Linked DNA regions of Arabidopsis thaliana. The protein of the gene in region 1 interacts with the protein of each later gene in a pairwise test. Each region holds a gene or a part of one and is shown in the gene's direction. Other genes may lie near its edges.

Region 1 (4,362 bases):
TTCCGATAGTACCATTTCCATAAAAATAACTCATAACATTTTACTAATTAAACAAAAACTATACACTAGTTTGACCCCCCAAAAAATAATTTCTATACTAAATTACTAATACACATAGGAATCTAAAACTAAACAAGAATTTCAGTGGCTAATTAGTTCCTGAACTAATGTAATGATTGGAAATTGAAATTGAACCTGAGGAGCGATGAGGATGAAGCCATGAGAAGAGACATGCAACATAAGCTGAGAATAGAAGGAGTTGTAGAGAAGGTAACCATGGAGGAGCATCACCACCGGATAATCTCCTTCCTCCACCGGCGTAGCCACCAACAGCTGCTTTGGCGGAGACGGTGAAGCTCTAGAAGACGGTGTTATTTTGCAGCAACGAGATGATGAGTCCAAGGTTAAGAGATTTGATTTGTATTTGCCATCTTCAAAGGCGTTTCTTGATGAAGAAGAGGACATTTTTTTTGTTCTTTATTAGTTTTTCTTTTCTTTACTTTTTTTGTTTGGTGGGTTCATGAGAATGAGGTGAGTAGAGATATTATTAAAAGTTATAAGAAGTATGGCCGTTGAAATCTTGGTTAATTTTAAAGAGCACATAAACAAAATCAAATAGAAAAAAATTACTTATGTTAAATTACTTATATTATTGGGGTTGGTGTAATGATAAATCTTCCAGATGTAGATATTGGATTAAACGTCTGTTGAAAAGAATCTATTTTCTAAAGAATATAAATTTAACTTGTGTCCCATCTCTAAAAAATATAAGACCTTTAAATTTAAACTTCTAAATATTTTTTTTTAAAAAACAAATCAAATAGAAAGAAATTACTTATGTGTGCATGGAATATAACAACTACAATCATAAGGCCATATATTCATAGTCTATTTTCAGTATTGAAACCTGATTTTTTCTAATTTTGGGTAATAAATTTTATGAAGTCTTTTTATTATAGTCTAGTTAAATTTCTCTATATTTAAACAAAGTCAGATCCTATATATATGAGATTTTTTGGAATTTTAAAAAATATTTAAATTCAAACAAAATAATTGGAGATTTGAATTTTTGTAAGAAAGTTACTTTGTGTTTCAGATTAAATTTAATAATAAATGGTCAAAAGATTTATGACTAAGAAGTATTAAAAATTAAAATATAGAAGAGAAAAAAATTGATATGATATGATATGCTCTTAGCAAAAAAATAAATTGATATGCTGTTGCTGGGTACAAGGAATGGGCTTTGTACTTCATACTAGACTACTTTTTCTCTAGTCCAATTTAAAAAAAAAAAAAACATTATATAACATTCGAGACTAATTTAAAGTGTTAAACGGCCCAATTTGTATTACACGGCCCAAGTTAAAGTGTTAAACATTACCTCATTACCTATGTACGATTTGTGGAAAAAAAATATATATACCTATGTACGATTTTGGATTACATTTTTTTTTTCTAGTTAAAACTAATTTCAAGTTTGAAATATAAATTATATATCTGAATATAGATCATTCTAGTTCAAATCAGATGGAAATATATGAACCTCAGAAAATACAATATCATACAAATGAGCCAATGTTTTGGTCTTATTCATTCATGATCATTGTGGCTCGAAAACGGTTGTTTTTTTCGTGCAAAAGAAAAAATAACGATTTTTTATTATTAGAATTTCGAAACCAGAATTAATAAAAATTAGGAGAAAGGAAAATAATACGAATTAAAGTGATCGTACACGTGGCTATCATCGACGGAGGAAATAGCCATTTATTTATCTGATCTTCATCACTCTGATGAGTCTGAAATCAAAAAAGCATTTACACAACGAAGATCATTAATGGCTCTCGAGGTGAGTTCTGATTCATAGGTTCTAGATTCTGATTTCGAATCTCGATTCGTTCAATAGTGATTATCGTTGCTCTTTCGGAATTATTTTGGGGATTTGATTTGATTTTGGCAGAACTGAGAATTGGGATTTGATTTTACCGTTTTGCAGCTGAAATTGAAAATTGAATCAAAAGTTTTTTCTTGAGATTTTTTTCTTTCCCTGAGGCTTAAGTGTTGATTGATGCAGGCATGGTTTATGGATGATAGCAATGAGGACCAGAGACTTCCTCATCATCGTAACCCGAAAGAACTCGTCTCGTTGGATTACTTGGCAGGTCTTTTCAATTCTCTACCTTAAAAATTACTCTTACTTTGCAACTTTTGAAAAACATCAATCTTTCATGCTTTATTGTATTGAGTAGTGATTCTACATGAGGAAACTAAACGTAAACCGTCTTAAAACTAAGGAAATGGTCAAATTTACCCAAGATGAGATTTAACAGAATCATAAATTATGCAAATATCACAAATATAGTTGTTGTGTTTTGTAGAGTTGGGAGTGTTGTACTGGAAGTTGAACCCTGAGAACTACGAGAATGATTCTGAACTTAGCAAGATTAGAGAAGACAGGGGTTACGATTACATGGTACGCATATTATCTCTTCCTGATCACTGTTTTTTCTTAACTTAGGAACACTCATGCTCATCATAAATGCCAATTGAATGTCTCTGTTTTTTAACTTGTTGCATATCGTTGCATGTTGATCTCATGAGATTAACGATTGTGACATATACTAGACACAGTAGGAGTGTAGGACTACATAATGAAGGTAGTACTCAAACCTTACAAAACCAGCCTATGAAGAAAGAAGCCTTATGAGTATTAGAGTACAGGATTTGCTACGGCTTATGTCTTTCTGATCACCCTTTTTTAACTCATGCTCACCATAAGCGGCTATTGATGTTTCAGTTCCTTTACTTGTTATCTCTGCACGCTAATCTCATGAAAAAAAAAAACATGTATCATAGGACAGTAGGACTATAATCTTGCATAACCATTAAGGGGTAGTATGACTACAAACATTTTAGAAACCAGCTTATTAAGGAAGAAGGCTTCTCTGTAATTGAGTATTAAGGGAACATTAAAACGTTTGGTTTACGTTAAAAATAATTAAGCTATTTGTGTGGTGTGTAGCATTGTAACTTATGAGCTATAAACTAATTTTCTCAAGCAGAATGATTACTTTGGTTAATCTTCATTTTAGGATTTGCTGGATCTGTGTCCCGAGAAAGTCAGCAACTACGAAGAAAAGCTGAAGAACTTTTTCACAGAACACATTCACAAGGACGAAGAGATTCGGTACTGCCTAGCAGGAAGTGGCTACTTTGATGTTAGGGACAAGGATGATCGTTGGATCCGTATCTGGATGCAACCTGGCGATCTCATTGTCCTTCCTGCCGGAATCTACCACCGGTTCACACTCGACGCCAGCAACTACATCAAGGTACAAAAAGCCAAACTCAGTCTCTATACTAATTTACTAATTTATATGAATACGCAAATGAAATATTACATCTTAATATCTTATGTTAAAAGATTTGATTGTTGGTTTGTGATGTATGGTGGTTTGGTTTTGCAGCTAATGAGGCTGTTCGTGGGGGAACCGGTTTGGACACCATATAACCGGCCACAGGAAGAACATCCTGTTAGGAAAAAGTATATCCACGGCTTAACCTACAAGTTTGGAGAAACCGTTAAAGCACATTAACAATATTAATATATGCTTGTTGTGTAATTTGTATGTATTGTTTACTCTTTAGTCTTAAGCAGTAAAATAAAAACAGCGGCTCCTTCTGGATAGTTGTTCTTGTAACATACTTTTGCGATGTATGCTTTTATACATAAAAAAAATAGTGTGTATTTATCTAATAAGTATCATTAAAAAACAAATGTCAGCTGCGAACGTGAAATTTATAACTAAAAAAACCCTACGATTTTCGAATAAATTATTTGAGCTTTCCAAACTGTAATTCAAGTATTATTACTTATATAGTGTTAGTGTACTTCAAAAGTTAAAGCATAAATTTTCTTATATTTGAAATGACCTCTTCTTTACAAAATCTTCTTAAAATTATGCATTATCAATATATTAATTGTATATATATATATAATGTATAATTCTGCTTGTGTCGTGCTTAACCGTTTGATTTGGTGTGGTTAGATCTGGTTTTCCCCCAACCCAATTCAATTGAATCAAGGATCAATCAAATTTTCAAAGGATACTCTTGTTCTCTACACAAATCTTTCAAAGGGTTCCACCAAAAATCCCATCATTCTGACTTCAGAATAAACAAACAAACCACGAAACGTATCTCTATGCATTCACTACAACGTGTCATGGGCGAAAACGAAGCTTATAAATGTTGGAGCATAGTCACTAAATTTATAATGATTAATTAAATTTTAGATTTTCTGATATTCATAGAAGACAAAAGAACACAAAAGTAGCATCTTCCAATGAATGTATGACACTATGA
Region 2 (4,800 bases), on another chromosome or scaffold:
TAATTAAAATAACGTCAATAAAATCATATTTTGTTTAAATTATTTCCCTTTTTGGGCAAATAATTAAATTATTTCCTAACCAGTTTAAGTTTCGTAATGCAAAATGGAATCTCTAATGTTGCTGGGTCAAGTTTTCTTCTACGTAGAAAAGACTTTTTGTATTGATTCCCCAAAGCCATTCTTCTCAATGTAAATTTGATTTTATCAGAAATAATAACCCAAAAAAAATACTCCAAATGTCTTTTCAATATAAAAATTAATAATTTGACTTGATATCAATCGGAAATTACAAGAGAGTATGGGAAGTCGTGGTACCGGAGAGAGTGCGGCTCTTCCTATGGCTTGGAATGCAGCAAGTTCTGATGACGAATGCTGAGAGGAGGAGGAGGCATCTAAGTGATTCGGACATTTGCCAAATCTGTAAAGGAGCTGAAAAAACAATCATACATATTCTTCGTGATTGTCCTGCTATGGAAGGCATTTGGATCCGCTTAGTTCCTGCGGGTAAGCGCCGAGAGTTCTTTACACAATCGTTATTGGAGTGGTTGTTTGCTAATCTGGGTGATAGGCGGAAGACTTGTGAGAGTACTTGGTCAACTTTATTTGCTTTGTCTATTTGGTGGGCCTGGAAATGGCGGTGTGGCAACATTTTTGGTGTTCAAGACAAATGTCGAGATCGGGTGCGTTTCTTAAAGGATCTGGCTAGGGAGACGTCCATGGCTCATGTGATAGTCAGGACACTGAGTGGGGGTCATGGAGAACGGGTGGAAAGACTGATCGCGTGGTCGAAACCCGAGGAAGGTTGGTGGAAACTTAATACGGATGGGGCTTCCAGAGGTAATCCGGGTTTAGCGTCTGCTGGTGGTGTGCTACGAGATGAGGAAGGAGCTTGGAGAGGAGGTTTTGCTCTGAACATTGGAGTTTGTTCAGCACCTTTGGCAGAGCTATGGGGAGTGTACTATGGCCTCTACATTGCTTGGGAGCGACGAGTCACACGGTTAGAGATTGAGGTGGACTCAGAGATTGTTGTGGGTTTTTTGAAGATAGGGATAAACGAGGTACATCCGCTGTCTTTCCTGGTACGATTGTGCCATGACTTCATATCAAGGGACTGGAGAGTCCGTATTTCACACGTTTATAGGGAAGCTAACCGTCTTGCTGACGGGTTAGCCAACTATGCATTTTCGTTACCATTAGGTTTTCATTCTCTTAGTTTGGTTCCGGATTCTTTACGTTTTATTTTGTTGGATGACACTAGTGGAGCTACGGTTTCACGTCAAGTGCGAATGTAATTTTCTTTTTCATTAATAAATCTTGGGAGACTTTGTCTCCCTTGGCTTACCCAAAAAAAAAAATCGAAAGTTACAAAGAACGATTTATCTAGTTAAAAAGAAGTTTTTTCTTAACTCTTAAACACAATTATTAGACTACTAAACATTCATAATTAATAATCATACAAAATGATTAGTCGAACAAATAAAATATCGCATCCTTTCCAATTTAAACGAGATCACGTGGAAGCGAGTACACACCACGCGCCGATACAGAGAGTGAGATTTCAAAATTCGACGAACCAATTTGCCTCCGTTCACATGCGATGCATCTTCTCTCTTAAATATCCACCGTCACCACTCTCTCTTCCTCTTTAGATTCTCTCTCTACAGAGAACTTGATTATTTTTTCTGATCTGAGAAAAAAAATGGCGAATGGAGCTAATAGAGTGGATCTCGACGGGAAACCGATACAACCGTTGACAATATGCATGATCGGCGCCGGAGGTTTCATCGGTTCACATCTCTGTGAAAAGCTCTTGACCGAGACGCCACATAAGGTGCTTGCGCTCGATGTTTACAACGATAAGATCAAACACTTGCTTGAGCCTGATACCGTTGAATGGAGTGGTCGGATCCAGTTTCATCGTATCAATATTAAGCATGATTCGAGACTTGAAGGTCTTGTTAAGATGGCGGATCTGGTAAAAATGCTTATCGATTTCGTTTTTTGATCTCTTGTTCTTCGGTGTTTATGATAGAAGTCTCAGATCTGATTCGTTATCGGAATTCAGATGTTTCGCAATGTATTGAGATCGGTGATGTTGTGATGTAATTCTGATGTTTCTTTTTGGATTCGCAGATTATAAATCTTGCTGCGATCTGTACTCCAGCTGATTACAATACACGTCCTCTTGATACTATCTACAGCAATTTCATTGATGCGCTTCCAGTTGTATGTGTTTTCTTCTTAGCTTCGTTCATTGTTTTGCTTTAGCTCTTGTTTTTGAAGTTGATGGAGACAGTGATGATTGTGTAATGCGTTGGTTTTGTTAGGTGAAATACTGTTCTGAGAACAACAAGCGTCTCATTCACTTTTCTACCTGTGAAGTTTATGGAAAAACCATTGGAAGCTTTCTTCCTAAGGATCATCCTCTGCGTGATGTAATGCCTTTTTGTACATTTCGCTTTCCACATGTTATTGTCTTTTTATCAATCTCATCGATGAATGTACTGAGGAACATGTTGAAGCTGACGTTTTCGTTCGTTTTAATAGCCACATTATGAATTACTCATTGGATCTCGTTAAACGTATTTTTGAATTGAATTAAGACTTTAGTCCGCTAGTCTATCACACACCCATAGAAGCTTGGAATAGTTGATATTATTCGTCTAAGGTTGGGTTCACTGTTTACTGATGTTGTTTGTTGTGCCTTTCTACAGGATCCTGCTTTCTATGTTCTTAAAGAAGATATTTCCCCTTGCATATTTGGTTCAATTGAGAAGCAGAGGTGGTCATATGCGTGTGCAAAGCAACTGATTGAGAGACTTGTTTACGGTAAGCATTTCTGTTTAAGATGATGTTGGTAAAAACAAAAGGTTTACACTTAACTTCACTTGTTTCTTGTGACAGCTGAGGGTGCTGAGAATGGGCTTGAGTTCACCATCGTACGACCTTTTAACTGGATTGGACCTAGGATGGATTTCATCCCCGGCATTGATGGTCCTAGCGAAGGTGTCCCACGTGTCCTTGCCTGCTTTAGTAACGTAAGTGTTCAAATCCAAGTATATAACCCAATGCTAGTCTGTGTATATATGCAAGCTTTTAGTTAATGCATCTCTATCTATCTTTCAGAATCTTCTACGTCGTGAGCCTCTCAAGCTTGTAGATGGTGGAGAATCACAGAGAACTTTCGTCTACATCAATGATGCTATTGAAGCTGTCCTTTTGATGATTGTACGTTCCATTGCCTGATATATAGCTTTTTGTTTACAAACTGTTAATGTTAGAAGTTCGAAGTAGTTTCAACTAAAACCTATAATGACATTGTATGTTTGTGGTTCAGGAAAACCCAGAGAGGGCAAATGGGCACATCTTCAACGTAGGCAACCCGAACAACGAAGTTACAGTAAGACAGCTCGCTGAAATGATGACCGAGGTGAGGAAGATGGATCAGTTAGGAAACTATGAAAATAGTTTGATTTCTCTGTCGCTGGTTCTCAATTCTCAAAACGAATCATGTTTCAGGTTTACGCAAAAGTGAGTGGAGAAGGAGCCATTGAGAGCCCAACGGTTGATGTTAGCTCCAAAGAGTTTTACGGGGAAGGTTATGATGACAGTGACAAGAGAATCCCAGACATGACCATCATTAACCGCCAACTCGGTAATTCTTCATAATCACCAACATGATAGATAATATGCTTTAAAATCAAAATCAATTGCTATTCTGATAGAATTTTGGACTTTGAAAATAGGATGGAACCCGAAAACATCGCTATGGGACTTGCTCGAGTCGACCTTAACCTACCAGCACAGGACATACGCTGAAGCTGTGAAGAAGGCAACATCCAAACCAGTGGCTTCCTAAACTCTCCAAGACCCCAACGAAACTCGTTAAACACGCGTCATTTTGGCATTTTACTCTATTCGATTCTATTTTTTTCATCCCAGAGAAAACTTTTTTTCTTTTTTCTTTTTAAGAAAACGATATAATCACGGTGGTTCGTTCCAAGTATACCTTTTCGTTTGTAAGTTTTCTCTTTTTGTTTGGTTTGTTTGGCCATGTATGTCGGAGCTGTCAGAAAGCAAGAGGTTAATCGTTTGTAGCGAATGATAAATGTTCGAGTGTATATTTTAAAATGCTTCGTTTTACATGTGTACAAGTACAAGAACAAATGTAATTATCTTCTGTCAAGTAACACATTGTGTTTCGTTCAGAAAAAAAACAAGTGGACTACAGAGTATGAAAGAAAGTCTAGTAGTTTTGGAACGCTCGACAATTAAATTCGATTTTATTTTTAAATTGTAATATATAAATCACAAGTAGCGTCTGTAGTCCAACGGTTAGGATAATTGCCTTCCAAGCAATAGACCCGGGTTCGACTCCCGGCAGACGCATTATCATTATTTTTATATTTTGAATTGTTTTCACTGAATTTTTAATTCAATGAAGGCAAAGCAAACTAGAAGAAAATGAGTCTTTTTTTCTTTCTTTCTAACTCATGTACATAAAATACATTGTTAGAGCATATTCTAGTTCAACTATTTCTGATTTAATATACTCCATCTACTTAGTATTGCGATCAAGATTAGATCATAACATATCGACATTGTATAGTACTTATCATGAATCAGCCAGCAACTTCGAAATTTTATGAACTTGAAAAGAGCAAAAATCATATTTCATTTAAACCCATTAACACTCCAAAATGACAACATAACATATATTATAATAATCCAAAAATTTTAAGATGCCAAAAGCCTCATAAGTCACTCAACGATTCACCAATACAGTCAAGTAAAAATTTC
Region 3 (6,429 bases), on another chromosome or scaffold:
TGAAGAATCGATCTAAGATTTGAAACAAATTAAAACCAAAAAGGAAAGCAAACATACCTCAGGAAACCCCTTTGGAAAGAATCAAGTGCTTGAGCTATCAAAAATGCTGAATTTTCTCTCTGAATGTTTTTGCTTCGTCTCTCTTTGGTTACTTGTTTTCTATATAGCCCACGAGGTCCAAAAGCTGGGTAGGTACGTACGTGATTAGCATTAATTTATTTCTTACTTGAAAAAAGCCACGTCAGGATAATCCAAGATAGACTTTTCCTAAGTTTGACTCTTCTCTGCTGATGTGGTAAAATTTGATTGGATAAATACTGTAAAACATTAAGTTTAAGTCATCGTCATTGAATTTAAATTACGTATGTCGTATAATTATTTCTAAGACGTTGGCTCAATTATAAATTTCATAAAATCTTAAGAACTAATTTTAACAAAATACAGAAAATATCATTTGTATTTTTAATAATATAATCTATAAACATATATATATATATTTATGAGAGTCTGTCAAATTTGTATGTAGCTAATTTCTTTGGAGAAGAAGAAGGGAACCTTTGATGGATTTGTAATGTTAGACTATATATGCCTATCTAGATGCATGCATCTCCTAATTAACCTAGCTAGCTACAAGAGGTTAAAGATAATGGATGATCACCTATAAGTCTAGAACGTTGATATATAAACTCTGTTATGCGTATTATATCAAAATTTTGGCATATTATTCTCTTTGCAGGTGACATGATATTTGTATGTTGTTTATACACTAGAAAAAAATATTGTGATTTTGTTCCACTTCCAACCATCAGAGGCACTATTTATGCGTTCCCAAATTGTTATCTCCATAACAAATACCTGATTGTTTTACGACTATAACAGCCAATGTATATAAAAGACTTAAAAACTAAAATAGGCTGCATGGTCAGTGATTGCGCTTAAGAAGTTTTTAGTCATATTTTTTGTTTTGTCGTTCCGTATAAATTTTGGCTTTAAGAAAAAGACAGTGACTTTTCACCCAAAAAAAAAAAAAATACTTCTTAATGTTTTGAGATATTAGTAATTGCCAATCAGTGAGTGTAGTTATTTTCATTATGTTCATTTTAGCTTGTTAAAGAAATTAATATAGGATATTAAGCCGAAAGTGGATGATGCTCTTGAATTGAAGTTAAAAACAGTCTGCTTATCAAATCTTAAAAATCATGCATAACGTGGGTGCTATCACTGAGTTTAAATCTGATACAGACTGATTCAACCATTTGGAAGCTAATGGAGGAGCGGCCGGCTATAAGCTCTCCCCAACACAACACACACAAAGATTGCAACATGATATATAAGTTATAGGCAGCCAATGAAGCCAATGGATAAATCATAGAAACACCTGAAACGTAAGAGGTAGCTGGACAGAGATTACAAACCGATCCAGACTGAGAGATTCAATATGGAAATATAGGAGATTTGTGAATGTTAGAATAAGATTATGTTTTCTATGCATCGACATATTACAAAGTAGAAAGATATTTTGGGCCAAATTACCAAATCTCTATGAGAGTATAATTAGGATTACGTATTCAAATCTCGCCTTTGTGGAAAGCGAGAGAGATGAATGGGAAAAGCAAAAGATAGGAAAGAAATTAAAAGGGAAGCAAAAGAAGTTGGTGATCCGAATCAGAATCACGCGTGTAATCCTCTCAAAGCATTCATATTACACTCATTGAAAAAAGAAAAAAAGGTACATATTCACAATCACATATATATATTATTTCTGGCATCTAACGTCGAATGTAATCTCACTTAATTTTTTGTTTTTTACGATAATTGTTACAAAAGTATCGAAAAATAGTCGTCAGAAATTATAGTTTACTAAATTGCTGTTAGGTACAACAGATATTCACCATCTCTGAATCTCAGTACCATACTTTTTCTTAAAAAAAAATTCAATTTTAATGTGTTTGAACACATTAATACATTTCCATACTTGGCCTTCACTAAGATTAGTTTTTGCACTTCTCTCTTTCTCTCGATCGCTGCTTCTTCGTCGCTCAATCTCAAGCTCCGTTCCGTTAGTTCTTCGTCGGAGAGACGGTAAGGTTTCCTTCCGATTTCATCATTCTCGTTGATCATCTTCTTCTCTGGTTTTTGTTTTTGTTTCGAAACTAGGTTCCTCTTCCTCGAGTTTCCTGATTTTTGTCTTTAGAATCTGCTTTAGAAATCGAAATCGCTAGGGCTCGGGAAGATCTATGTGATCTGAGTTTACTATTGGCTACCGGATCCCGAGGAGTCGCTCCTCGTAAACGTCGTCGTTTTATTTCGCCCTTTTGTTTTAATACTATCAGGCCTGTGGTGGCGTAACTAGATCACACTGGGGGACTAGGACGATTTGGTTTTCCGGCTAGTCGAAAGCGCGTTGCCCAAAAAATTGTGTCGGTCGGATCGCTGAGAAAAAACGAGCGCATTAAGGTAAAATATAGTCACGTTTGAGTCTTCGGGCGAGTTCGTATCGTCAGATTTGAGAACGCGTCGTCGACGAGTTAGTGCGGTGGTTTGTTTATGGTGACGGAAGACGAGAATCCGGACTCGAAAGAGTGTAACAGAGAAACTTTTCTGATTGTTGACTGTTTGGTTAGATTTCGTCATGTTCCCAATGGGAGAGCGGGTTTATGATTGTCCCAAATAGAGTATAGATCTGAGTTTGTTTTTCGCTCTAGTGTCGACAGTTTCATACTTGAATGGTTCTGGGCTGATCTTTCTCTTATTATTTTTTTGTTGAAATAGGGGTGGAGAGAATCCTGCTGCAAGTGGTAGCTGTTTGATACTTGAGTCATTTTGTCACAGCAACATGAATATGCCGCTGTTGGATATTCAACCACGAACGTTGCAGTTTGCAGGTAAGATATAAGGGGACTGATTCTTATCAATTGTAAAATGATCATTTTTAAGTTCCAGTGAGTAGACACTGTGGTCCCGTTAATAGTTTCTTATTTTTTTGTAAAATGTGGATTTCATAGCGAGGGTGTGTTATTCCTTAAGCAAAGTGGCCAACATGTTCCAGTTATGAATACCGAGTTTTCTGAATTCTCACTATTTCGTTAGAATTCTATCATAGTGGTGCTATTGTTTGTGGGTCTATTCTCCTGTAAGATGAATTGATGTGATGTTAATGTGGCTGTTGTTTGGAGGAATCTTCTAACTCTTTCCTGCTACTGGATTTGTATGTGCTGACATTCTGTGATGTGGTTTCTTACCTCTCATATCGATTCTGAGGATCTATAATAAAATATGGAAGTTGTAAAAGGAATATCTTTGCCTTGGCATTGTTATCCTTGTAATACTAACTGGTTTCATCTTTTGTAGTTGACCTGAAGAAGCAAACTTCCTGCGTGGTACAGCTAACCAATACTACCCATCATTATGTTGCATTTAAGGTCTAAAGAAGATTCTTCTCAAACTTTTTCTCTTTCTTTCTGGCTTCAGGATTTCGAATATCTTATAAAATTTCTGAGAAAAAGTATTCTTTCTGTATACAAACCTAAACTAGATGTGGTTTTTGACAGGTTAAAACCACATCACCAAAGAAGTACTGTGTTCGTCCAAATGTTGGTGTTGTTGCACCTAAATCAACCTGTGAATTCACTGGTATGCCTACTTTTTATATTCTTCCCAGCAATGCTTGAATTTCTTGCACCGACGTTCTTAGGCCGATGTGATAAACTGTTGCATGATGTCTACATGGGGCGGGAAATGAACTGGAATATATGTATAGATCTGTCCTTTGTCCCTTGGACTTAAACAGCGTTTGGACATTGTTTTAAGATCCTAGGCTTTTAGAGTTTAGTGTAGTTGTTCAAGAGAGAAGGTATCTGCTCCGGATGGAATTATTAAAGTTCAAGTTATTACTCATTACGTGGAACCTGCATTTTTGGGTTTGTTTGAGCATTCAAAATTTTAAACTGGTTGATGATGAATGGGTTCTTGAAATTCAAATTCAGTCAATGCTTTGGGTTATTGAGTTGTATATGTTATTTATGCAGTCATTATGCAAGCTTTTAAAGAACCACCTCCAGATATGGTTTGCAAAGACAAATTCTTAATCCAGAGTACTGCTGTATCTGCGGAAACAACTGATGAAGACATCACAGCTAGCATGGTAAGCATTCCAACACTTGTTGACCTTCTTTATCATTAATTTCAGTTATTTGGTCTGTCAAGTATATATGTACACTCATTTATTCTTGGCAGTTTTCGAAAGCCGAAGGCAAACACATAGAGGAGAACAAACTCAGGGTCACGCTCGTACCGCCCTCTGACTCACCTGAACTATCTCCAATCAATACACCGAAGCAGGGAGCAGTATTTGAAGATTCCATCCTCAAGGATCGTTTATATAGCCAGTCAGAGACCCTAGCTCCGCCACAATATGTAAGAAGAGTATTTACCCCTTTTCGCAACAACTTTTATGATTTGTTAGTAAGATGAAGAGTAATTTGCCAAGCAGTGAGTGTAGTTATGTTCCAGCAAGTTCATTTTAGCTTAGCTTATAATCACAGTTATTGGGTGCAATAGGGATTTTCTTGTAGTTATTTGTTTATTCTCAAAATTTATTTTTCTAGGAGGGTGAGATTGTAAAAGAGCCTAGGATGGTTGGACATGATGAGTTAAAGGCAGCCGACAATGCAAAGGAGTTAAAGACACCAAAAATGGCCACAGTGGATTTTGTGGAAGATCGATATACTGCTAATGACTTGAAGGCAACTAAAGATAGCTACGATTCATCGAGGATGGCAAAAGAAACTGGATTCGATCCAATTAGGTCTCATAAGGATGCGGATGATGGAAGGGCGATTAAGGCAACAACTAATTTGGACGCTCCCATGAAGAAGGCCATGGATCTACCTAGGGATCAAGGGTTTACTAATGGAATAGCTGTTGACAGTGAACCAAAGATATCTAAGGAGAGAGATGTTGTCCAGCTGCAGAAAACAGATGGCCAGAATGTCAGAGGATTGGATGAACTTAAGTTGGTTAAAGACATTGAGGAGATGAAGCTGAAAGTGGATGCTCTTGAATCCAAGTTAAAACAGGTCTGCTTATCAAATTTTAAAATCCATAACTTCCGTGCTATATGTAACTGTGCTAAAGAGTTTAAATCTGGTGCAGGCTGATTCAACCATTTCGAAGCTAATGGAGGAGCGATCTATAAGCTCCCAACATAGACAAAGCTTGCAACATGAGCTGGTGAGAATGCTAGTGAGAAAACATAGCTGTTTCTTTCTCCTACAATCAAAACAGTTTCATAATAACGAAGCTTGTATTTTGATGATGATGCAGGCGGAACTGAGAACGAAGAAGATAGTGAAAGAAGTGCACAATGGGTTCCCTCTGCTGTATGTATGCGTTGTGGCATTCATTGCCTATGTTATCGGGCACTTTCTGCGCACTTGACTGCTCGCTCGGTGTCTATATCATATCAAGTGTGCAGTAAGGGATATATAGACAAAGAAGGTAAAAGGATTAGATTTCGTCTGTTTGGGTTTGCTTTGTGGGAGAGGATGAATGATTTCTCCGACACATTTAAGATGGAATATGATAGACTGTATAGCATTGGTGTTAGTTAACACAAGGACACAAGGACATATGGTATGATGATATGCTTTGTTTCTCTGCTTCTCTTACTAATTTGAAGCTGTTGGATTGATTTGTCTCTTCTTACGTTCCCTTCTTTTTTTTTTCGTTTTCTTTTGTCGTATAGACCAGGCAGGGGCTAGGGCCTAGTGATGGGTATTGGCCCAATACTATTGGGTTATTTGCCTGGTTTATTATTTCGATTTTAGGTTAATTCAATTTTAAGAATACGTAGATTTGTTTGGTTTAGTTTGGTTTGGTTGCACTAAGTTCGGTTTTACATAAATAGAATCTAACACTACTAATTGTTATACGTAAAATACAACAACAATAACAGATTTTTCGTTTCAATTTTCGTTTAAGAGGGTAGACATTTTGGTTTGGTTTGGTTCATTTTTTTTTTCCCTTTCAAATTCACATCCTTCACGTAGATGACAAAATAAAGAAAAACATGAATGAAAGTTGTAACTTGTAAGCATCAACATGGAAATCATATCACAAAGAACACAAATCTAACTAATGGGTCTTTTCACATATTGGTATAATTATAAGTTGTAAGAATATTAGTTAAACAGAGGCAACGAGAGATGCGTGATATATGAAAAGTTGAAAACAAAAGACATGGATCTAAAGAGTCAAGCAAAATGTAATATCTTTTTTTCTTCTAAACTTGAGGATGTCCAAGTTGCAGTGAATGATTCCCTTTAATCATGGAGAAATTCAATGAAATAATTGTGTTTCTTCCCACACTTTATCTTTATTTATTTTCTTACCACAATTACAACTATTATCACAAAAATGTAAGTAACA

What was found.
Region 2: the proteins of ARD4 (region 1) and AXS1 interact in a two-hybrid assay, tested with the Arabidopsis thaliana proteins (one large-scale study listed by BioGRID).
Region 3: the proteins of ARD4 (region 1) and VAP27-2 interact in a two-hybrid assay, tested with the Arabidopsis thaliana proteins (one large-scale study listed by BioGRID).

The regions. Positions count from the first base shown.
Region 1 is NC_003076.8:17,626,595-17,630,956, reverse strand, and holds ARD4 (RmlC-like cupins superfamily protein), read left to right. Parts: upstream 1-1,593; 5' UTR 1,594-1,834; coding exon 1,835-1,846; intron 1,847-2,071; coding exon 2,072-2,159; intron 2,160-2,375; coding exon 2,376-2,470; intron 2,471-3,089; coding exon 3,090-3,329; intron 3,330-3,464; coding exon 3,465-3,593; 3' UTR 3,594-3,825; downstream 3,826-4,362. Other genes in the region: CLH2 (chlorophyllase 2), read right to left, coding at 196-465. UniProt on the Arabidopsis thaliana protein: Catalyzes 2 different reactions between oxygen and the acireductone 1,2-dihydroxy-3-keto-5-methylthiopentene (DHK-MTPene) depending upon the metal bound in the active site.
Region 2 is NC_003071.7:11,863,743-11,868,542, reverse strand, and holds AXS1 (UDP-D-apiose/UDP-D-xylose synthase 1), read left to right. Parts: upstream 1-1,544; 5' UTR 1,545-1,699; coding exon 1,700-1,975; intron 1,976-2,133; coding exon 2,134-2,226; intron 2,227-2,327; coding exon 2,328-2,435; intron 2,436-2,714; coding exon 2,715-2,829; intron 2,830-2,904; coding exon 2,905-3,038; intron 3,039-3,126; coding exon 3,127-3,228; intron 3,229-3,337; coding exon 3,338-3,430; intron 3,431-3,519; coding exon 3,520-3,655; intron 3,656-3,746; coding exon 3,747-3,859; 3' UTR 3,860-4,266; downstream 4,267-4,800. UniProt on the Arabidopsis thaliana protein: Together with AXS2, catalyzes the conversion of UDP-D-glucuronate into a mixture of UDP-D-apiose (UDP-Api) as the main product and UDP-D-xylose to a lesser extent, via a cycle of oxidation and reduction.
Region 3 is NC_003070.9:2,820,820-2,827,248, reverse strand, and holds VAP27-2 (vamp/synaptobrevin-associated protein 27-2), read left to right. Parts: upstream 1-1,767; 5' UTR 1,768-2,675; exon of another isoform or gene 2,676-2,772; 5' UTR 2,773-2,836; coding exon 2,837-2,885; intron 2,886-3,351; coding exon 3,352-3,422; intron 3,423-3,551; coding exon 3,552-3,633; intron 3,634-4,028; coding exon 4,029-4,144; intron 4,145-4,236; coding exon 4,237-4,416; intron 4,417-4,607; coding exon 4,608-5,078; intron 5,079-5,154; coding exon 5,155-5,232; intron 5,233-5,325; coding exon 5,326-5,439; 3' UTR 5,440-5,895; downstream 5,896-6,429. UniProt on the Arabidopsis thaliana protein: May play a role in vesicle trafficking.